Oryzias latipes: one gene and its partner. The protein of the gene in region 2 interacts with the protein of the main gene of each other region in a biochemical or structural test. Links are inferred from orthologs where the notes say so. Each region holds a gene or a part of one and is shown on either strand. Other genes may lie near its edges. The genes, in order: gna12 and araf.

Evidence for each region.
Region 1: the proteins of araf (region 2) and gna12 form a complex in vitro, tested with the Homo sapiens proteins (2 studies listed by BioGRID). The link is inferred for Oryzias latipes from reciprocal best matches to the Homo sapiens genes ARAF and GNA12.

Annotation. Positions count from the first base shown.
Region 1 is NC_019859.2:21,405,115-21,414,641, forward strand, and holds the end of gna12 (guanine nucleotide-binding protein subunit alpha-12), read right to left. Parts: intron 6,819-9,527; coding exon 6,612-6,818; intron 5,534-6,611; coding exon 5,372-5,533; 3' UTR 2,438-5,371; downstream 1-2,437. UniProt on the Homo sapiens protein: Guanine nucleotide-binding proteins (G proteins) are involved as modulators or transducers in various transmembrane signaling systems. Activates effector molecule RhoA by binding and activating RhoGEFs (ARHGEF12/LARG).
Region 2 is NC_019867.2:28,402,812-28,412,798, reverse strand, and holds the start of araf (serine/threonine-protein kinase A-Raf), read right to left. Parts: upstream 5,465-9,987; 5' UTR 5,349-5,464; intron 5,312-5,348; exon of another isoform or gene 5,046-5,311; intron 3,835-5,045; 5' UTR 3,722-3,834; coding exon 3,611-3,721; intron 940-3,610; coding exon 836-939; intron 1-835. Other genes in the region: U3 small nucleolar ribonucleoprotein protein IMP4, read right to left, coding at 7,364-7,476, 7,551-7,624, 7,707-7,801, 9,605-9,759, 9,861-9,987. UniProt on the Homo sapiens protein: Involved in the transduction of mitogenic signals from the cell membrane to the nucleus. May also regulate the TOR signaling cascade. Phosphorylates PFKFB2.

The DNA of each region.
Region 1 (9,527 bases), on a different chromosome or scaffold from region 2:
ACACGATGCCAGTAAAAATGTTGCGTAAAAAGTTGATACCATGTCAGAGTTCATGCGAGCGTCAGTGTGAAGTAAAACATAAGTGGCTTAATGATGCAGCAGCCTGGAGAGCAGCCATGTGTCATGGTCAAATCATCAGCTAATGAGCAACTAGTTGTTTAAAGTTCACTGTGTGATTCAGTCATTTGGTCAGCCATCGTGTGTGTGTGTGTGTGTGTGTGTGTGTGTGTGTGTGTGTGTGTGTGTGTGTGTGTGTGTGTGTGTGTGTGTGTGTGTGTGTGTGTGTGTGTGTGTGTGTGTGTGTGTGTGTGTGTGTGTGTGTGTGTGTGTGTGTGTGTGTGTGTGTGTGTGTGTGTGTGTGTGTGTGTGTGTGTGTGTGTGTGTGTGTGTGTGTGTGTGTGTGTGGCACGGGCTGCTCATTATTAAATATCAGAGTTCAGCTGAAGGTCCAATCAAAACAGCCCCGGGAAACATCAGCTTAACCAGAGTCATGAGACCACACTTACTCTCACACATGTACTCACACTCAAAGCACACATACACACAAACACACACACACACACACACACACACACACACACAAATCAACCAACACACTGGTGAGGCAGCTCTGATCATTTCAAAGCAGCCAATGCATTTGTGAAACCACATTGTGTGTGAAATATTGCAGCTGGTACAGCAATAACCTTTGGATGGAGGATTTATGTGGTGCAGCAGCAGCAGCAGCAGCAGCAGCAGCAGCAGCAGCAGCAGCTTAATTATACTGTCATTAACCGGCTTTCCTCGCAGCCTACAGCAAGTCACAGCGTTACAATGATCCGTCTTAAAAAGGACTTTGATTTGTTTAAGTGAATTAGTGTAAAGCAAATAAAAAGCGGATTAAAGTGACAGCATGTTGGTGTGAAAAAAAGGTTCACAAAGTCTTGGGAGATTAAAATCCACCAACCGCAGGTTAGAAAGAAAAAACAGAAAAGAGAAGAAAATGATTGTGTCTGGCGTCCTGACAGCAGTGTAGCCACAATGGGACAGCAATAAACATGCACACTGCAAAAAGTCAATCTTAGGAAAGTAAAAAGACTTTGTTTTATGAAAAAATAGTTTGAAGTTTTTCATTAATCAAAATAATCGTAGTTTGAGAAAACGTCTCAGTGACTAGAATTACTTTTATAAAATACAAATTCTTGGTAAGAATATTATCCTTACCTCACTGGCAGTTTTTTTTGTGCTTATTTACAAAAAATCTGCCTGTGGGGTAAGAATTTTTGACTTCTTTCTAAAAGATCTGTTTTTGCAGTGCAGTTTGTAAGCGCAGGCTTCCTAATGCCTGAAGGTTCAGAGTGACAGCAAAAAGTTTGAAGTTTTCCAGCTTTGCTTTTTCACTATAATATATATATATATATATATAAAAAGAATTTAAGAAAAAAAAAATCAGAAAAAAACTGTGCTGCATGAGATTACAATCAACATAAAAGTCTTTTCTGGAGCTAAAAGTTGTGATTTTGGAACAAAAAGCTCTGAAAGGAAAACCTGCGTTTGATGGGCTGCAGATAAAACCGAATGTAACATTAGAACAAAATGTCCCGCCTCAGGAAAGCTGTGCTTTTCAGCGTTTCAGAAACCACTGGGGAGGGATTGTTTTTTTTCCCCCCAGCTTCCTGCTTTCTTCCTCTGCAGGACAGCAGCGCTGGGGAGGCGGGTTGGCTGCCCTCTGATGTGTGTTTGGGAGCTGAAAGCAGGCGGAGGGAGGGATGTCGCTGCTTCAGCCGCTCCATTTTAGGCTCGGGGAGGGAAGCGGACTCCAGAGGAAACAGAACCTCCTCCTCCTCCCTCCACGCTCTTACTTTTTCTTGTATTTACTCTTCCTCCTTTTGTCTGTCCCTCCCCGTCTGAGCCTACATGTTCACAAAGTCATGTTTTTCTGTGCGTGTTTGCCACACATCTCACAGTTTGTCAGACGTTTCTCATGACTGGTATAGACCTTAAATCTTTTTGGGTGCAAATCTATGTGGAAGTGGGATTTCTAAAACTAGAAGTGCTGGTCGTGCACCCCTCCCTGCCTCAGGAGGCTGTTGTACGGCGGAGCTCCACTGATTAAAAAGCCAAAGCAAAGGTCAGGCTCTGCTGGGTAACGAAGATATGGCCAAACTTCAGCTTGGCTCTCAGGCCCGGCGCTCTGATAGCCCTCCTTAATGAGCGTCATATTACATTTTGGGGGGTGAGGGCCCACAGCTCGCCTCTGCAGCGGATCGGGGCGACATTACTCGTCCCATGTCCGGAATCAGAAGCAAAGCCTCTAGTGTAAACAGATGGTTAATGATAGACATTATGGGGGTTTGTGTGAAAATTTTCCACACTTTTCAGCATTTCTTTCTTTAAACATGAAATGAAAACAAAGAAGCGTGCCGTGTCGGCACTGTAAAACAAAAACCAAACGACCTTCCGGGTTCTTCCTGTTTGGCCCCGTTTATTTGTTTCATTGCCTTTTTTTCCTCCTCAGACGCTTTTCCCTTCCTGCCACCCCGTCTCCCACACATCCAGTGCAATGACACACTTAAAAAGAAAAAAAAAAAAAAGTACAAAAAAAAAGAAACACTTTTGAAGTGGGGAAGGTAGGTTAGTTAAGAACAAACATTACAGCAACAGTTACAGACTTACAGTTGTGGGTGAACATTACAGTGTCATTCATTTACAAGCTTCAAATGTGCAGGAAGTAGGAGTGTGCCGAGCACGGAGACATGTTTTTGAAAGGAAATCCATGGGACGCAGCGTGGTGTGACAAAAGTCTGCCGTCTGGTTTTTGCTGACAGATTTTCAACCTAAAACCAGGAAGAGCACTTCACCTCCAACCTGTTAAAGCCTCTGAGTCCAAATGAATATAAAACAACAAAACATTTCAGTAACAAACCGGTTTAAAAAAAAATTTCTGCACAGAAAAATTATTTTTGTGGATAAAATGCAGATTTTTAGCAATTTCCTTTAACCCTTGTGCTATCCTAGGCACTTTAACATTGGGAGTTGGGTCATCTAGACCCACTAGACAGTGCTCTGAACCTTTTTTCTTCAATGATTTGTGATCTTCACTGGTGTCCATGGATTACATGAAATTTTTCCACCTTTATCATGGTAGGGAGAACACGTCAATGTAAGGGTGGGGTCATCTAAGATAGCACAACGGTTAATAGTGGTTAAAAGGCTTGTTTTGTTGTTTGTGTTTATAAAGAAATGGATTGCCTTTCAAATAATAAACCAGAGGAAGCAGAATTGGGGCTACGCATAAAAAATGGGAACAAGAACAAATTCCCATAATTTGTTAGTGTGGACTGATATTCACACTCCTTTGGAAATGTTTTGGTCAGAACTACCTGAGAAAAGCTTTTATGGAAATGGCTGAAGTGTAGTAGGCCTCTCCAGAGGTCGTGCTTTTTGTCACACAGTAGTTGAATTCATTCACTCAAGATGGTCGCAGCGGATCGCAGAGGCGGTCGTGTAACCCCGGTAACGAACGGAGGAAGTGCCCACGTCCATCCGCGTTTTCCTTTTCCTAAGTGTGATCTATTTGACAGCTGTGCTTCAGAAGAGCCGCTAATCTGCGATCACATTCAAACTGCTCCGTGTCCTCAGCTGACCTTTGGCGGCTTCAGGCCAGATCTGAGGAAAGGACAGCTGAATATTTGAACATCTCCAGCTCTTTTTTATGCTAATTTAAAGAAGTATTGGTGTGTTTTTTTCTGTCGGACGTGTTTGGATGGCGTTTTTGTTGCTTTCTACGTTCACACAAAGTTCTTGAATGCATGCTTAGCCCATAATGTTCACACTGGACAAGCAGGGAGGGGCTTCTTCTTCTTCTTTTGTTACTGTTTACTAGCGCATGTCTGCCACCTTCAGTTGGTTCGAAATGCTAAAGCAGTGCAAATCTGGCTCCAGGCTTTTTCTTTCACAGCTCTATTCCGATATTCATTTGTCTTCCATGATCACTTTTTAAATAGTTGGCACTTCTGTGAATGAAAAGGGACGTAATTCATATGTCACTACCAAATCTGAGTCCCTGATTGGTCAAAGTTTGACCTGGTTCAACTTTCAACGCGCGTTCAACGGACATAGAAACAGTAAACAGTCATAGTAACTTGAATCGCGAGAGGTGAACGCAAGCGTTTTAAACGTGAAAGCCCAAAAAGTGCAGTTACGCACGTTTGCATAGACCTTTTATTGGAAGTGGCCGCTTGAACCAAGAAGACCTGGCTACAGACATCAACGTACAGAACCGGAAGTCCTCCACCAGAACTGAAAGCACTCCCAAACTGCAACAATTTCAACTGGCGGGTTTTCTTGTGTTAAGCCTTAAGAATTTTTTTTTACACTTTTGGGTATTGTTTAGACAAGTTGTATAAATTCCCCTTCCGACAAATGATGTCAGGCGCCGTCTTGTCTGCAGTCAGGTCCCTCTCGTTTGAACATGCATTGCAGAGGCCAGTGTGAACATAGCTTTAGGCCTGACGCCTGCAGAGGCACTTCCGTCTCTTTCTGCTGTTCCCCCTGCATGTTCAGCACAGAAACGGCAGCCGGCCGTCTCACCGCGCAGCAGAAAGCTCTCGCCTGGAGTTAGGTGTGGATCAATGGTACAGCTGCGAGGAAATGGAGGGATTGGGGTAAGGAGACAGCCCGTAAGTAATACATAACTAAGATCTGTGTGTGCTTAAACAAAGATCTCCCATTTAGGCGTCTCCCGCTTCTGCTGGAGAGGCAGATGAACAATCTGTCTATTATGCTTGACAGGAGCGCAGGGAGACCCTCAGAGAGGAGGACTTGTTCTCCGCAGCTGTTGCTCCTCTAAACGACGGTGGGAAGATGAGAGCGGACGTACGAAGAGGACAGGGGTCACAGGAGAACTCGCTCCCCCCCGTTTCCCTGCCGAACCGCCCTGACAAGAGCACTTGTGCAACCTTATCACACAACACGGCATATGACCAGTGCGCGCCCTCACCCCTCCATCACGTGGACTTCCAAACTTTGCTGCGCTCGCCTCCGAAACCTTTGCCCCGCCTCTTCCTCCTGGCGCTCTGTCTCTGCGCAGCGTGAGCTGCAGTCTGGCTGCGTTTAGTGACACGGCTGTCAGGATTTTTATTTACACAAAAAGGAAGAAACACTTTCCGCGCTCACGCTGATGATACTCCCACCCCCCTACACACATTCAGACTCTCAGACGCATTTCCACAGGTTAAAAGCTGAGTCTCCACGGGACCGGGGTTCAGTCTGACTGCTGCACCCATGCACAGTCATGGTTGTGTGGTGTCAGCGTGAGCAGAGCTTCAGGAGTCCTCAAAGCCTAAATTCACAGTTACTCTCAGAGAAGCCGTCTTGGATGGCGAGACAGTCACTGCAGCATGATGTCTTTGAGGTTCTCCTGCAGGATGGTGTCTTTGACGGCGTGAAAGACAAAGCGGATGTTTTCCGTGTCCACTGCTGTGGTGAAGTGGTGGAACAGTGGTTTCCCCCGGTTTCTCCTCTTGCGGCTGAACGACTGCACCAGGAACGCCTGGAAGGAGCAGAGGACGAGTTGGAGATGGAGATCAGTCCTTTACAGGCCGACCAGACGTGCTGCTAACAAGAGTGGTCAGAGCGCGTCCCACAGGGATCTCTGAGGTGCACATAACGATCTGAGCTACTGGGGCTGTAATGAGTATCCAAATACTCCAATATTTGCATTCTGTCCCTAAAAATTTGAGAATGAATATTTGCGAGGTCCAAGATCGCTGATTCACGATCTTTATAAAGCTAGTAGAGTGTAGTGAAAATACACTTCAGACAAGGTAATTATCGCCCTAAAATGCAGAATAATGTTGAATTTTTGAACAAATCCTAAACACTAGTGTCCCAGGATGCTAATAAACCTTCAAAGTAAAATGTCGATGAAGGTTCTCCTTTTCAAAGTAAAAGTATCAAGTGTTTCCTGGAGATGACAAAAATGAGACTAAAGTTCAGTTTATGGAAATGACTTCTGAAAAACTGACAATTTAAATAAAAATAATGAATATGAATTTAGGAATATAATACAAAAACATTTTTATCAATGACGTCATGCGTGGAAAAGTCGTACCAGAAAGCGTTTGCTGAACGTTGATCTAAAATGTGAACGTTTATAAAACAACAATGTTGTCAGTTTGGATGAGAGGACTGTGAATGTTTCCTAATTGTTACATTTTTATTTAGGTATTCCTGTGTCTATTTAATATCTGCTTGTCATCGATCTACTGGAAATGTAGTCAGCAAAGCTTTGAGGATGGAAAAACTGTGGAGAATATTTTCAGGATTTGTTGTTAAGTGATCCTAAACAACAGTGATGTCTATGCTTTGATTCCTCTAGGAGTTAATCAGGAAGTTGACAAAAATACTTTTAAATGTCAAATTGTTTAAAGTGGTAAATATCATTTCTTTCTTTCTAAATCTTTCTTTTTTATCTGTGATAGTTATAGTTACTATTCAGACATGGCTTTCCTCCTCCATCGACTCTAACTTTGTACCAAAATGCAACCACGGAGGCATAGGCGTTTTCAGACTGGCTTTATTCTGGAACAGCCCATCCACACACTGAGAGGAGCAAAAGAGCTGTGTACCTGCACGTCCTCCAGCCTGCGCGGGTCTCCTCTGAACTCCGGAAAGTTCTTCCGGATGTCCACCGTTCGGATCTTTTCCACCAGCAGGTCTGTTTTGTTGAGGAAGAGGATGATGGACACGTTCAGGAAGAGCTTGTTGTTAACGATGGTCTCAAAGATGTTCATGCTTTCCACAAGACGGTTGGTCCTGCGGTCCTCCATCAAGACCTGGAAGAACACGCATATTACTTCTGTGTGTATTTGTATGTGTGTTTCCTCCAAGTCTTATCTGTGGAGCAATTAAGGATTCAGTTGGCATCATATGACCATTGATTTGAAATGGAGCCACAACTGTGGGAACAATAAAGTTTCCTCAGTATACCACAAAGACAGCTTTGTGTAAGCCTCAGATCCTGTGCCTCTTCCTTGTCCATTTCATAATTCCAAAAGTTGAGAGAGGGCCAAAAAAAAACATGTTCCTATCATCAAGCTTCTAACTGCAGTTTTAAGTCAAAGCCAACTCCACCTTCTAGACCAGAGTGGAGCTGTTAAAGCATTTCAGAGCAGTCAGCATGTCACCTGCCCTGGAAAGCAGAGACCTCAGCTTTAGGGAACGACTTCAGAAGGAGAAGATAAGAGAACGAAACTGCCTGAAGCTGCAAAAGAGTCCGAGCTTCTTTGAGTCCTCACAAGACTTCATTCCATCCAAACAGTGAGTGATGTTTGTGGGTCTTTCTAGAGACGTCACATTTGTTATCACCGCTCTGAGCTGCCATCTAGGCACTCCTAGTCTAGTCTACTCACATCCCGCTCTTTCATAAAATGCACCACTGAGACTGAAGGAAAACTGATCACGACTGTTACCGTCCAACCATCATCCCCAATGGTCTGTGGAGATCTGTGGGAGTAATCCGGATACGGAGCGGGATGGTCAATCGTACAGTGCCTACTGTCAGCATAACAATTAAGAAAAAAAAGCCACGTGAAAGCCTGAATCTCTTTTTCTGATCAGCTGTTGGCTTGATGCTTTTTCAAACAGAATTCCAGCGGACTCTCCAAAATAAAAGCGACCTATGAAAGTCTGGTTTCACAAGCCCCTCCTACAAGCGATATAAAAAAGTCCAACAAAATGGATCGATATGACTTTTCTAATTCTCTTTGACATGGCTCCAGTTAAGCAGAATTAACTACTATGGTAATATAAACCAAATGTGGACACCCGATCTTAACCCTTGTGCTATCCTATGGAGTCAAGATGACCATTGACGTGTTCTCCCTACCATGACAAAGGTGGATAAAGGTGGAAAGATTTCATGTAATCCATGGACACCAGTGAAGGTCACAAATCTTTAAAGAAAAAAAGTTCAGCGCACTGTCTGGTGGGTCTAGATGACCCAACTCCCAATGTTAAAGTGGCTAGGATGGCACAAGGGTTATGAGAGTCAGATATACCCTCCGGGTAGGACTAATCCTGCCAAATTCATAAACTTCACCACTTTAGGTTTTGAGGCTGTAACAAACTTGAAGAAGAGAAAAATGAACCAGTCTGTCTCGTGCTGACAAATGTAAAGCCCTTCCTTTTTTCTTTAGAATTTGACTTAACGTTTTTGCTTTTCTTGTCGTCGCATGTATTCATTTCTGATTTTTAGAAGGTACACATCAATAAATCGGAATATTATCATTACTCGGTAACTCAGTTTGACAAATAGAAAACTTTTTGATTGGAACAACTCACAGGAAATGTTTTGAAAAACCCCAAATTAAGTCTCTTGGAAATTGTGATACTTAAAATAAACCGTTTAGGTTGAAAGTGTCAAAAACATGTGTTGTAACAAATCTAGGAAGGATTTATTATTTATAGTTTTTTTCCTTCACACCTGGCTTAATATAAGCTTACTGAAAAATAATTTTGTGAATTTGTGTTGTTTTGTAAAACACACTTTATACTCACAGGAACAAAACTGTGACCCAGAAATCATGGTATCAACAGAAATTCAGGCTGCTCACTTTTAATAAGGAACTAACCTATCAATAGAAAAAGCCCCTTCATCAAGACTTTCTAAAAGAAGTTTATATGTAAAAAGACTCTAAAACATCGACTCATAGTGTCTAATTTCAATAAAATACTTCAATCTTAATGGTAAAAAATGTGCAGTCCTCTGCATCGTTGGGTCAGATGCGTCTCGTCTTGCTCTTCACACTATACAGGGTCAACACTGAAATGATTCACACTTCTGACAATATTTGACTTGGGTTCAACCAGGAAGTTCCCTCTTGACTGGAAATGACTCAGACGTCTCCCAGAAGGTAACAAGTCGATGTACAAGAGGCATCATGTGGAACAAAGAGACATTCTATACGAGGAAAGGTGTTGAAAGTTTGCCTGGAGGGGGACTCCATCTAGACTGGACTGGATATGGGGCTGGGTTTGCACGCCATCAAATGAAGCTTCATTAAAACTCACGTCTTTTGTGTCAGTGCTGGAAACTTTGTGCTAACAGCTGCAGGAAAAGGCTTACAGACAGTTCAACGAATGCTACATTTAAGAGGCTGTCATCACAAAATGCTGTTCTAAATGATTCAGTTAAAGAGCTTTATAATAACAGGAATGCTTCATTTCCATTGATTGATTTTCACAAAGTTTTTTTTTCATCAATTTTTGTCAGGTTAATGTTTTTCGTTGAACATTATGAGCCGTTTTGAGCCACAGTTTCATCCTCCACTATAAACCAGTCTAAGCTTTGAAAGTTCTTGTTGATATTCTAATAATAAAATGTCGTATTTTTCCACCTACAAGACCTAACCAACGGAGCTACAAAAAGCTGCTTCAACCTTTTTCCATCAACTTCAATTTCCACTCCGGTGATAAAACGAAACATTTGTTAACTCACAAAATATGGTCTATAGCAGGGGTGGGCAAACTGCGGCCTGAGGGCT
Region 2 (9,987 bases):
TTTGGTTGATGATTATGGTTTAGATCCATCAAGATTAAATTAATAAACGGCTACCGTATAATACTATTTTGTACAGGCCTTAAGAATTAAAAACAGAGCATACCTGTAAGATAAAGCTTGTGACTTGCTAAATTTGAAACGTGGATGAGACTCGAGAGCATAACCTGTGCAGATGCTGCATGACATGCAACACTACCGTGAAAACGATGCAACTGCTGCATAAACTGCACAGCTGCTGTGAAACAGGGGCAGCTGATGCATGACATGTGCTAACCGCCAACTGACAAAAATCAAATCAGTATACATCTTTTTTGTTTCTGATCATCTTCCCCTTTGAGACGCCCTCCACCTTCTATCTCCACTCATCTCCTCTTTCTCATGAATATGGCTCTTCATGAATAAATTAGCTTGGATGATGGAAAAACACATTCGTTTACCCACAGATGGATGTTTATAAAGAGAGGTCTGCACTAAAGTCTGTACCACACAGTTTTAGAAACCTGCATGTTTGAATGGATTCCACCATCTGGGTGTCTAAATCAGAACTTTGGTTTAAATAAAGAACTTTTGGTGAAAAAAGTTTTGTGCACGAGCTTTCAAACAATAATTATAACGATGAAACTGAAGTGAGCTGGAGGTTTTTAAAGCAGACAAAACTAAATATAGTGGTTAAAAACAAAACAGATCCAGTTGAGTCCATTTCATAAAAATGTTTTACTCGTTTCAGTTCCAAATCACCTTGATGAGTTTATGTTAACCTAAACTAGTCTTGCTGTGTGTGCTGTGGTTTTCAATCAGGATGTGAGGGGGGCATACAGCAGATAGGGGGGCTTACCCTTCCAGGAGGCGGAACACGGCGCAGCAGTCTTGGCTGAGGCCTCGCACTTTGAGAGCTTTATCCAGACTCTCGTACACAGTCTGACCTTGGCGGACGTTGACCTGCAGACACACACCGCGGTGAAAAGTTCAAGTTTCCCTTTGATCATCTTTTGATCTACTGTAAAAGCCTTCCCACTGGCCTTTTGATAGTAATTATGTCGTTTCCAGCCTAAATTTTAAAAAAAAAACTGTCATTTTCTAAAGAGTTCATTAAACGATTCCCATCTGCATTGAGCGACTGTTGGTGCAGTACAAGCCTGCCCCTACTTCCCGTCATCCATTTGTTTATAGCTATCCAGTCGTACAGTTTAGAGCCAGATTCCAGCTCTGGCGAGGAAAACAAAGACGTTCATGGATCCATTTGTCTGTCAATAAATTACTGCTACAATCTTTTTCCAAAGGCATTATTCATCTGCTCCTGATTCATAATGATTGGAATAAAGAAATTCTCAGAAATCCAAAATTAAGGCTAATTTTTGTAACCCTTGTGCTATCTTAGGCACTTGGGATTTGGGTCATCTAGACCCACTAGACAGTGCGCTGAACCTTTTTTCTTCAATGATTTGTGATCTTCACTGGTGATTAAAGGTTAACCCTTGTGCTATCTTAGATGTCTTATATTATATTATTATATATATAGATCTTATATTGCGTCCGTCGTCAGAAAAATGCCACAAGAACATTTTAAAAACATAAAAAAGACCATTTTCATTGGAGTGGGCATTTAAAGACACCTGATGGTCAAAACAAGCAGATGGGGCAGATTCCCACAACGGCTCAAACAGACCAGGACTTCAGCTGTCACAATCGTTGAACTTTGCCTCCCTGCCAGGTGTGTATGTAGCCTTATATGCCCCTGTGTTCTGACGCACTCCTAAACCAGAGTCAAAGTGGTTCAGCACCAGCCTCCATCCACAGAGGCTACTGACCAGAGTCAAAGATGGGACTATAAGCCATGTTCCTGAAGATCTCAATGTCATCATCTTTGACTACTCTGCTCTTCAGACCAGTTCTCAAGGCCAGGTACCTGCAATCCTCCTCACATTCAGATGCTGCAGCTAGACAGTCATTCTGAAGGTATCCACAGAAAATAACCTTCTGATGGAGGTAGCTGTGAGGGGGCGGGGCTCTGGCAGCTCCTTCATTAGAGAGCGCCCTCTTTCTTAGGGATTACTTTATGATAATCTCTGCAAACCTGCTGTCAAATGTTTTCAGTGGCTTTTCCTCTCAACAGCTACAGATAGCTAAACCCCGCACTTGGGAAAAAAAGAGGTAAAAGGTGAAAATCATCGGAATTCCAAAGACGCTTTAAGCTGCAGATATCAAACTGAACTTTGTGACGCTTTCATGTCAGAGGGAGAGGAAAAAACCCCCTTTGCATGCTGGGAATTTTTGTTTGGAAAGGTTAGGTTTTTCAGCAGCAGAAGGGAACAGGAAGAACCTGATGGCACAAACATGTGTGTTTGCTGTTGTGATGTGACACAAACACTGATATGACAACACAGCGGAACATGAGATGGATCTTTGGCGTGTGGAGCATGAAGGATGGTGGCGGCGGGATCGTCTGAGACACCTGATGCCCGCTGTGCAGCTTGTGAGCACAAAAAAATATTAAAAGCAGAACAATTTATCAGTCTTGGGTGTGTTATTAAGACAAGTGGAAGCTGTTTTTAAACTACAATGAAGATCCTCTTGGCTCTTTAGTCTGTTTAACACTTGAAATCATCATAGCGTCAGATATGACTGTTGTTCTGGTATCAGCAGGCTCAGGGTGAAGGGAATCAATATAAATATTTTTGGGGAAAACGTAAAAAATATCTCAGAAAAACTTTCAGCGCAAAGAACTTTAGCAAACTTTAAGCTGGAGAAATGGTTGAAACTAAGAATCTTTAAAGAACATCAGCTTCTTTTAATTGAAATCTTTCCTTTAAAAGCAGCTTGTTGTGAGCATTTAAGTTTGTTTCTTATGTTAAAATTAGTTTTTATGCATGAATTGTGAAGGAGCTTCGAGACACGAACAGTTTGATCAGATTTTTACCTGGTAAATAGATCATAAGAAGTATTTTTTAAATTATATTCATACCTAGATACATTAAAAACAAACCAATCAATTGATAACTAACCGTCTGACGCAACAGTTCACATCAGATAATTTTTGATAGTGGACACTTTGTCAGGCATTATCCCTTACATGTATTAATAATACATTGCTATTTACCTTGGTAACTAGGATTATATGTTTTGTTTTTTTCAGTATTTATATAGTTTTTTAATATCAAAACATGTTTTCCTTTTTAGGCTCGTTTCTCTCATTTCAATTTTTTAGTGAACAAATTCATAAAAAAAAAGATCTGTCAGATTAATTCAACATTGAATTCAACATTTTAGCCATATTTCCAACCAATTTTGCAGGTTTTTGCATTCATCATCTTTCTTCGGCATGCCTAATTTTCTTTGGTGCTTTAGCTTCAGTTTCTAGCCTCTACTGTAAACATTCACACATCTATTATCAGAGAAAAATGCAGTTTTTCATGTTAAAAGCGACAACAGAAAAGGAGTTCAGAGTTAGGCAAGTCTCTTGGATCAGAGGCTAAACGTCTTCAACTTGAAAAAACTGACTCTTTTTAGAACCGTTTCTGCTGCAGAACCACGTGGATGAATGAATGTTCATAGATGTGCTACAGATACGTTTTTAAACACATTAGAACCAGTGCATGCGCAGTCGCCTCACCACTGTCCTCTGTTTGTTGGGGAGGTAGACTCGGATGGTACCCCCGCCCCGAGGCACATCCTCCGGACTGGTCTCCCCTGAGGAGGAGTATGAAGAGGAGGTGGAGGACATGATGAGAGGCAGGTGGAGCTGGGGGTGGGGGTGGGGGGGCAGCACTCAAACTGCAACCTCAGGAGAGCTGCAGCATGCACAGGTGGGATCCAGAGAAGCCCTTCACTCAGAACCTGCAAACGCACAGACACAAAATGTAACAAGAGTGCAGGACGTTCAAACCTTGAGTACACAGTGATTTAATGAAACTTTAAAGTCTGAATGCTTCTTCATAGAAATAAAAAATGCTTTGTAGTCATGCAGAAATGTATTTAAAGCCCCACTACAGTCACCTTCTGATTGATTTTGTATAAGCGTTCCCAGTGGTCTTTCAATCATGATTATGCCGTTTTTAGCCAAAATAAAAAAAACTCTCGCCCGCTGGCGTACAGCCCCCCATACCCCCAAATTAGGATTTTCGGTGCAACAAAAATGGCGAGCAATATCGGAGCTATCCAGTCGTACAGTTTAGGTCCAGATTCCGGCTCAGACGAGAAAAACGGAGACGTTCATGGGTCTGTTTGTGTAGAAGTGGATGCGGAGCAGGGAACTTGCAGTTTTAACTCCTACGACAGATTTAAAGCTTTTTCCAACTTTTTTATGTCTACTCCTGATTCACAATTATGTGAATAAAGTAATATTCAGAAAAGTTATTAAAATCTTAAATTTTCTTAATATATGTTCTACAATGTTAGGAAAGAAAATGCAACAAACTCTTCTGAAACACCAATATCTTCATTTTCATTGGTGTGGTTTTAAAAAGGAAAAAGGTTTTATGATAACTAATAAAAAATGTGGATTATTTTAACATAAAGAAACCAAACCTTTTTTAAACTGATTTGTTACATGCATTTGTTTTGTTTACTTTGTGTCAGAAGTAAATAGAAAATATTGCCTTAACCACATAAATGCCTAAAAATGAAGCAAACCAATAATATTAATATACATGTAAGTGGGTTTGGATCAACCAACCGAACTCGTTCAACCAGAATCCATAATCAAGAGAAAATCTCTGGGAATATACTCGGGTTTTTTAGGCGCACAGGGCTCCGTCTGAGTGACAGAGCCGAACTCGGGTAAGACGCAGCTGGGTTTCTGTCAGAACCTTTGGGAGAGACCCACGGTACCGTGTACCGCCGCATCCCGGCCGCTCAGGCGCTTCACGTTTCCCCCTCGGCCGCAGCGGCGCAGCCTCTGAGCAGCCACACACTTTCAGTTGGGAGGCCATGTTTAAGCCGAGGCGCCCGTTACCACTTCAGCTAACTAGCCAAATAAGTTTGTTACGGGTCTCGCGGAGGTCAAAAGTGACGCCCTGGAAACTTCTATGACATTATAGCAATCTAACCTGAGTGGGGGACTCTGCTGTGTCCGCTCTGAAAGCTGCAGAGCTCCAGGAGCGGAAGGAGATAATCCCGCTGCCGCACACACTTCACCGCGAGCCGCTCTGATGCTAGGCGGCTAATGTTAGCTAACCTGCGGGTGTAACCGCGGAGTCGGTTCAGAAGCTCCCATTAGCGCCGCTTACTGTAACCAACACTCGCTCAGCTGACAGGCCCGCACCCATCCAAGCCGCCGCGCCACGGCGAAGACCCGGCCGACTCACTTCACGGTGTTTTGGAGCAGTTCACATCCAAAAGTTCGGTCTCACCTGAAGCAGCCATCTTGAATTGTCTCAATCTGAAGTCTGTCAAGAAGTTCGGGAAAGCGGAAAAACTCCGCGGCGCTGCCTCCTGATTGGCTGATTCCAGCAGCCGCGTCCTCCGATTGGACAAGGACACCTGCGGGTGTTGAGAGGTGGGCGCTGCGAACTGACTTGTCACGTAAACGAGTGATTGTTAGCATCAGCACAGAATGAGGGTGCAAATCCCGCGCAAGATTTTCAACATCTGCTTATGCAACATGAGATGGGTTTTTTTTTCAAAAAGTTTTTTTACCAATGAAAAACACATAGAAAAACGATAAATTTAATTAATTCTTGAAATTGCCTCATGTTTTCAAGTTTTAGCGACATAAATATAATCCTACCATGAATTTTTATTTTATTTCTAATTCTGATTTTTATGAGGGGAAAAACAGTCACTTTGCACTTTTATCCCAAAAGTGTTTCCTTGTGCAGGCAGGTACATCTTTGTAGGTTCATCTGTGTTTACCAATTGTTTGCTCAGGGGTTCAACTGTCAGGCTGTTATATTCATTGTGTGTTATAGCAAGGCTTCAACCTTTCCCAAATGCAGAAACGGATTTGAAAATAGCTCTAGATCAGGTGTGTCCAAAGTCCGGCCCATGGGCTAAATTCAGCCCGAGTTCAATCTCCCTCTGGCCCACAGGCATTTATCTAAGAAAAATAATTGCGATCAAACTTGTTAATACTTAAAATTCCTTAAGTGTAATCATTTTAAGTTTTAGAGACATAGATACAATCTTATTGAATTTATAGAGCAATTTTTTTCTAATCTGTATTTTTATGAATAAATAGGCACTTTCTGCTTTCATCCCAAGTTTTTCCTTCCAGATTTATCACAGCACATGAATAGCTCAGGACTGGCACTGTGCACCAATTGGTTGCTCCAGGGTTCAAACTGCCAGGTTGTTAGACATTGTATGTTTTAGCACGACTTCAACCCCACATTTTCCCAAACACAATCCCTTTCAATCAGGCATGTCCAAAGTGCGGCCCATGGGCCAAATGCAGCCCGCATTCAAATATGAACCGGCCCGCAGGCTCCTTTCATAAATCAATAATATGTGGCCCCCCGCCTTTTCTAGAACCCGTGTATGATTTCTTGATTGTGGTTGATATTTTAAACCTTTGTTAACCTGTCGTGCAACCCCTCTGTGAAACTTTCTAGCTCATTTCTGAAATGCCACCAGGAAATAAAAAAGCAAAGTTGACAGTGAGGGCCACTTCCTCCAGGACAAGTGGAAACCGGCAGATTTTTTCAGCGAAACATGAGACAACAGTGTCTGCCTGATATTTCAAGAGTAGCTGGTCAATAGAAAGAGGGGATACCATACAAGACAAGCAAAAAATTGTGATTTTTGTTAAACATTAGTTTGAATTGACAAGTATCCCATTGCAATAAAATATCCATTTGCATTTATTGTTCATAAAATAATTCAAAGAATCCTGGTCAAATGGTTGACCCTCACACATTTTCACTTCATCAAATCTGACCCTCTTTGATTAAAAACTAAATATATTGTATAATGAGACAATTTAGAAGCAAGTTTTAAACAAAATCTTCCTTAAGATGAAAAACAAGACGGCAAAATAGAATTATGTAATACAGTACAAAATGAAATAAAAATAAATTAAAAAATTATACAAATGCATTTTTATTTCTGTCATACAACTACGCTGCAAACAAAAATTTGAATTTAGGCTTTATTTTGGAAGTATAAAACATTAAACTGAGATGAAATAAATAAGATCTGACACATAAAAGCTTCTCCTAGAGTTTTAAGTTTTGTCAAACTAAAGCTGATTCTGCTTAAAAGAAAATAAAAAAACAAGAGCCTGTGGATTTTAGCTGAAAGGTTTTTTAATTACAAAAACAGCAACAGATAAAATAGTCCATCCATGGTGACCGAGGTCCCGTTAGACCCTTTTTGCTGCATAAAGCCATCGTTGTTCAAGAGTCCGTCGTGGTCTTGGAACTTCTTCTCACTGCACGCTGAGGAACCTCCTTTTCTTCGCCGTGTGCGTGAAGCCGTGCTGACGCCACTCCACCTCTGCCGTGTTCTCGTTTTCCAGAGTTCCCAGTTTGATCATGTACACTGAAGGTAAAAACAGAGGGACTTTAAAGCCGCTCACACGAGCGCAGCGGGAACTTTCCTCCCTCCAAACTTACGTTTCATTTCAAACCTGGGTCCCACCTCCGTCAGCTCCACATTCCTGTGGTCTGTCTTCTTGTAGGTGTGGTGTCTGAGGGAGAAACAGAAGATCTGGGTTGTTTTCCAGAGATGCTGCATTCTCATCTCTGACTGAGGGGCGGGTCCACACCCACCTGAAGGAGATGAAGTCGTCCTGGTTGGCGAATGTGATCACTCGCCTGCTGTCGTCCTTTGGCACTGGAAACAGGTACTTGAGGATACTGGAGACCTGTAGGGGCAAAGGGCATCACAGGCTACGTTCACACCAAGCATTATTCGCACATGTCCAGTTCATTGGCCATATTACTGGACTAAATGTCCCCTCTCCCATGGCGTTCCAAACAGGAAGTACCCGCTGGATCAAAGAAGCCAAAATCACATAGCGAAATGAACAGCGATAACTCAGTCATTCTATTTGTCAGAATAACCATTCTTGCTCTCCTACATATTCTTGCTAATCCTAATTTTTTTCATGATATAATTTGTTATTGCAAGTTATAAACTGACCAATCAGATGTCTGAATGAAAGTATAAATGTTTGACTGATTCTCCTGAGGACGCCTCCCAGTGGTAGCGGTGTGGACTTCCAAGAAGCCCCCTCCTGATTGGTGAGAGAGGTTGCCATAGAAACCCTGACTCAGACCAACTTGGACCAATCACTGTTTACTGACGTCGACTGATTCTAACATGGCGACGGCAGTATTGCTGGAAAAAAAAAAAGTCGACTGAATTGACTTCATTTGGTTGGAATGGTTGACGCCACACTCAGTCCAGTTCTCGTATACAGTCAACGGTCCAGTTTCAATGTTAAGTCAATTAACAAAAACAATCAAGAGGTCCTGCGACGCGTTTTGACCGTCATGCGCCGCATTTTGTCACCAGTGAACTTCAGGCGTTGCGGCGCAGTGTTTTCACATTTTAAATATCTGAACCTTGGCAAAAAAGACAAATTGAGTTAGCCAATCAGGGACTCTGCTTTGGCCCGTGACGTGTTGATGATGTGACCAGCGGGTGGCATCCAAATCTACATGGAGGAAAATCTGATCGTCCTCCTGAACTTTATGATACTTTTGTTATTTGCACCGTAAGGTCCTGTAATTTTATTCGATGTGTATCTTTTCCCTCCCACCAAGTCGTCAAACTGGGTCACAGAGAGACAGAAGTAGCGCTGAAAGCGTCCGTCATTCAGCTGCAGCTCCTGCAGTAGATGGTGAATCTCACCGTCCTGGGAGGGTCTCTGATTGATCTCACAAACCCAAACATGGATCACTGTACTGCCGTTTTTTTAGAGCTTGTTAAAAATAAATAAATATGATCTTTCAACATCCTTTGAGTCTTCCATGAATTAAAGCTGCATCCTTCAACAGCCACATCCTTCCCAGGCGACGTTGGCCGGGTCCTTCTTTGAGCGGGTAGGCCGGATGTTAACGACTGTGAATTTGGACGAGTCTAGCCTTTAGATGATTGCAGCCATTACATCGGCGAATGTCCTGTCGCCTAGAAACTGTGAGTCCGGAACAGAAAGAAGTAGCGAACCAGGCATGGAGCGCAAAAATTTCCTGTGTTATTTGATCCAACTTTTAATCTTGGAGGAGTAATTATAAAAAGGTGTAATTATTCCAACTCCAGGTCCCACTTCACAGTCCGTCATTGTTGTCAGAAAATCTCCAGGTTTGGCTGCAATGCATCTTGGGATATGGACAGCATAGAAGAATACAGCAGACCAATCCTTGAAATTTGGGAAGAAAGAGGGCAGTGCTGGATGGCCGCATTTGTGGGAGTTGCTGAATTTGGACAGCACTTCAAATGCAGCCCAGGAAGAACGCAGACCACCAATTTGGACACAACCATTGCTTCCACGTAGCGATGTAGCTCCTCCCACATGCGGTGGGAGTGTCATGTTTATGAGAACATCTCTGGATAAGCATCCAGCAGCAAATTTGACGCAAGTCAAAAGAGCGGCAGCGGACACAAATCCACGTTCGGTGTGAACAGCTGTGAGGAGTGTGCACGGGGCGGCCCCACCGCTTACCCTCCTGCCGAGCCGGGAAGTGAAGTTGTGAAAAATGAGGTGGGGGTAAGCTTCAGACATGGTGCCAATGTCAGGAACGTCGTGCCTCATCACCACGTTGTAGAGCGTGAAGTAGGCTGTGGGTCCGAAGGGGAGGTGGCACACCACCAGGCCGTCTGCAGAGACAACAGAGTTTCTGCAGGACTTAACCGCCACCAAGTAGTCTAAATAACCAGCACCTGGTTAAACGCAGGAGTGACGCTGAACGAGCGCATACCTGGCTGTCCTCTGGTCTCGTGCACAATAACCAGGTCTGTCACGTTGTTGGCCTTGCAGGCTCGCACCAGTGTTGGGAGCTCATGGTTTCCTCTGTTCATGCGCTGCGCCCCGGGAAACATCAGCTT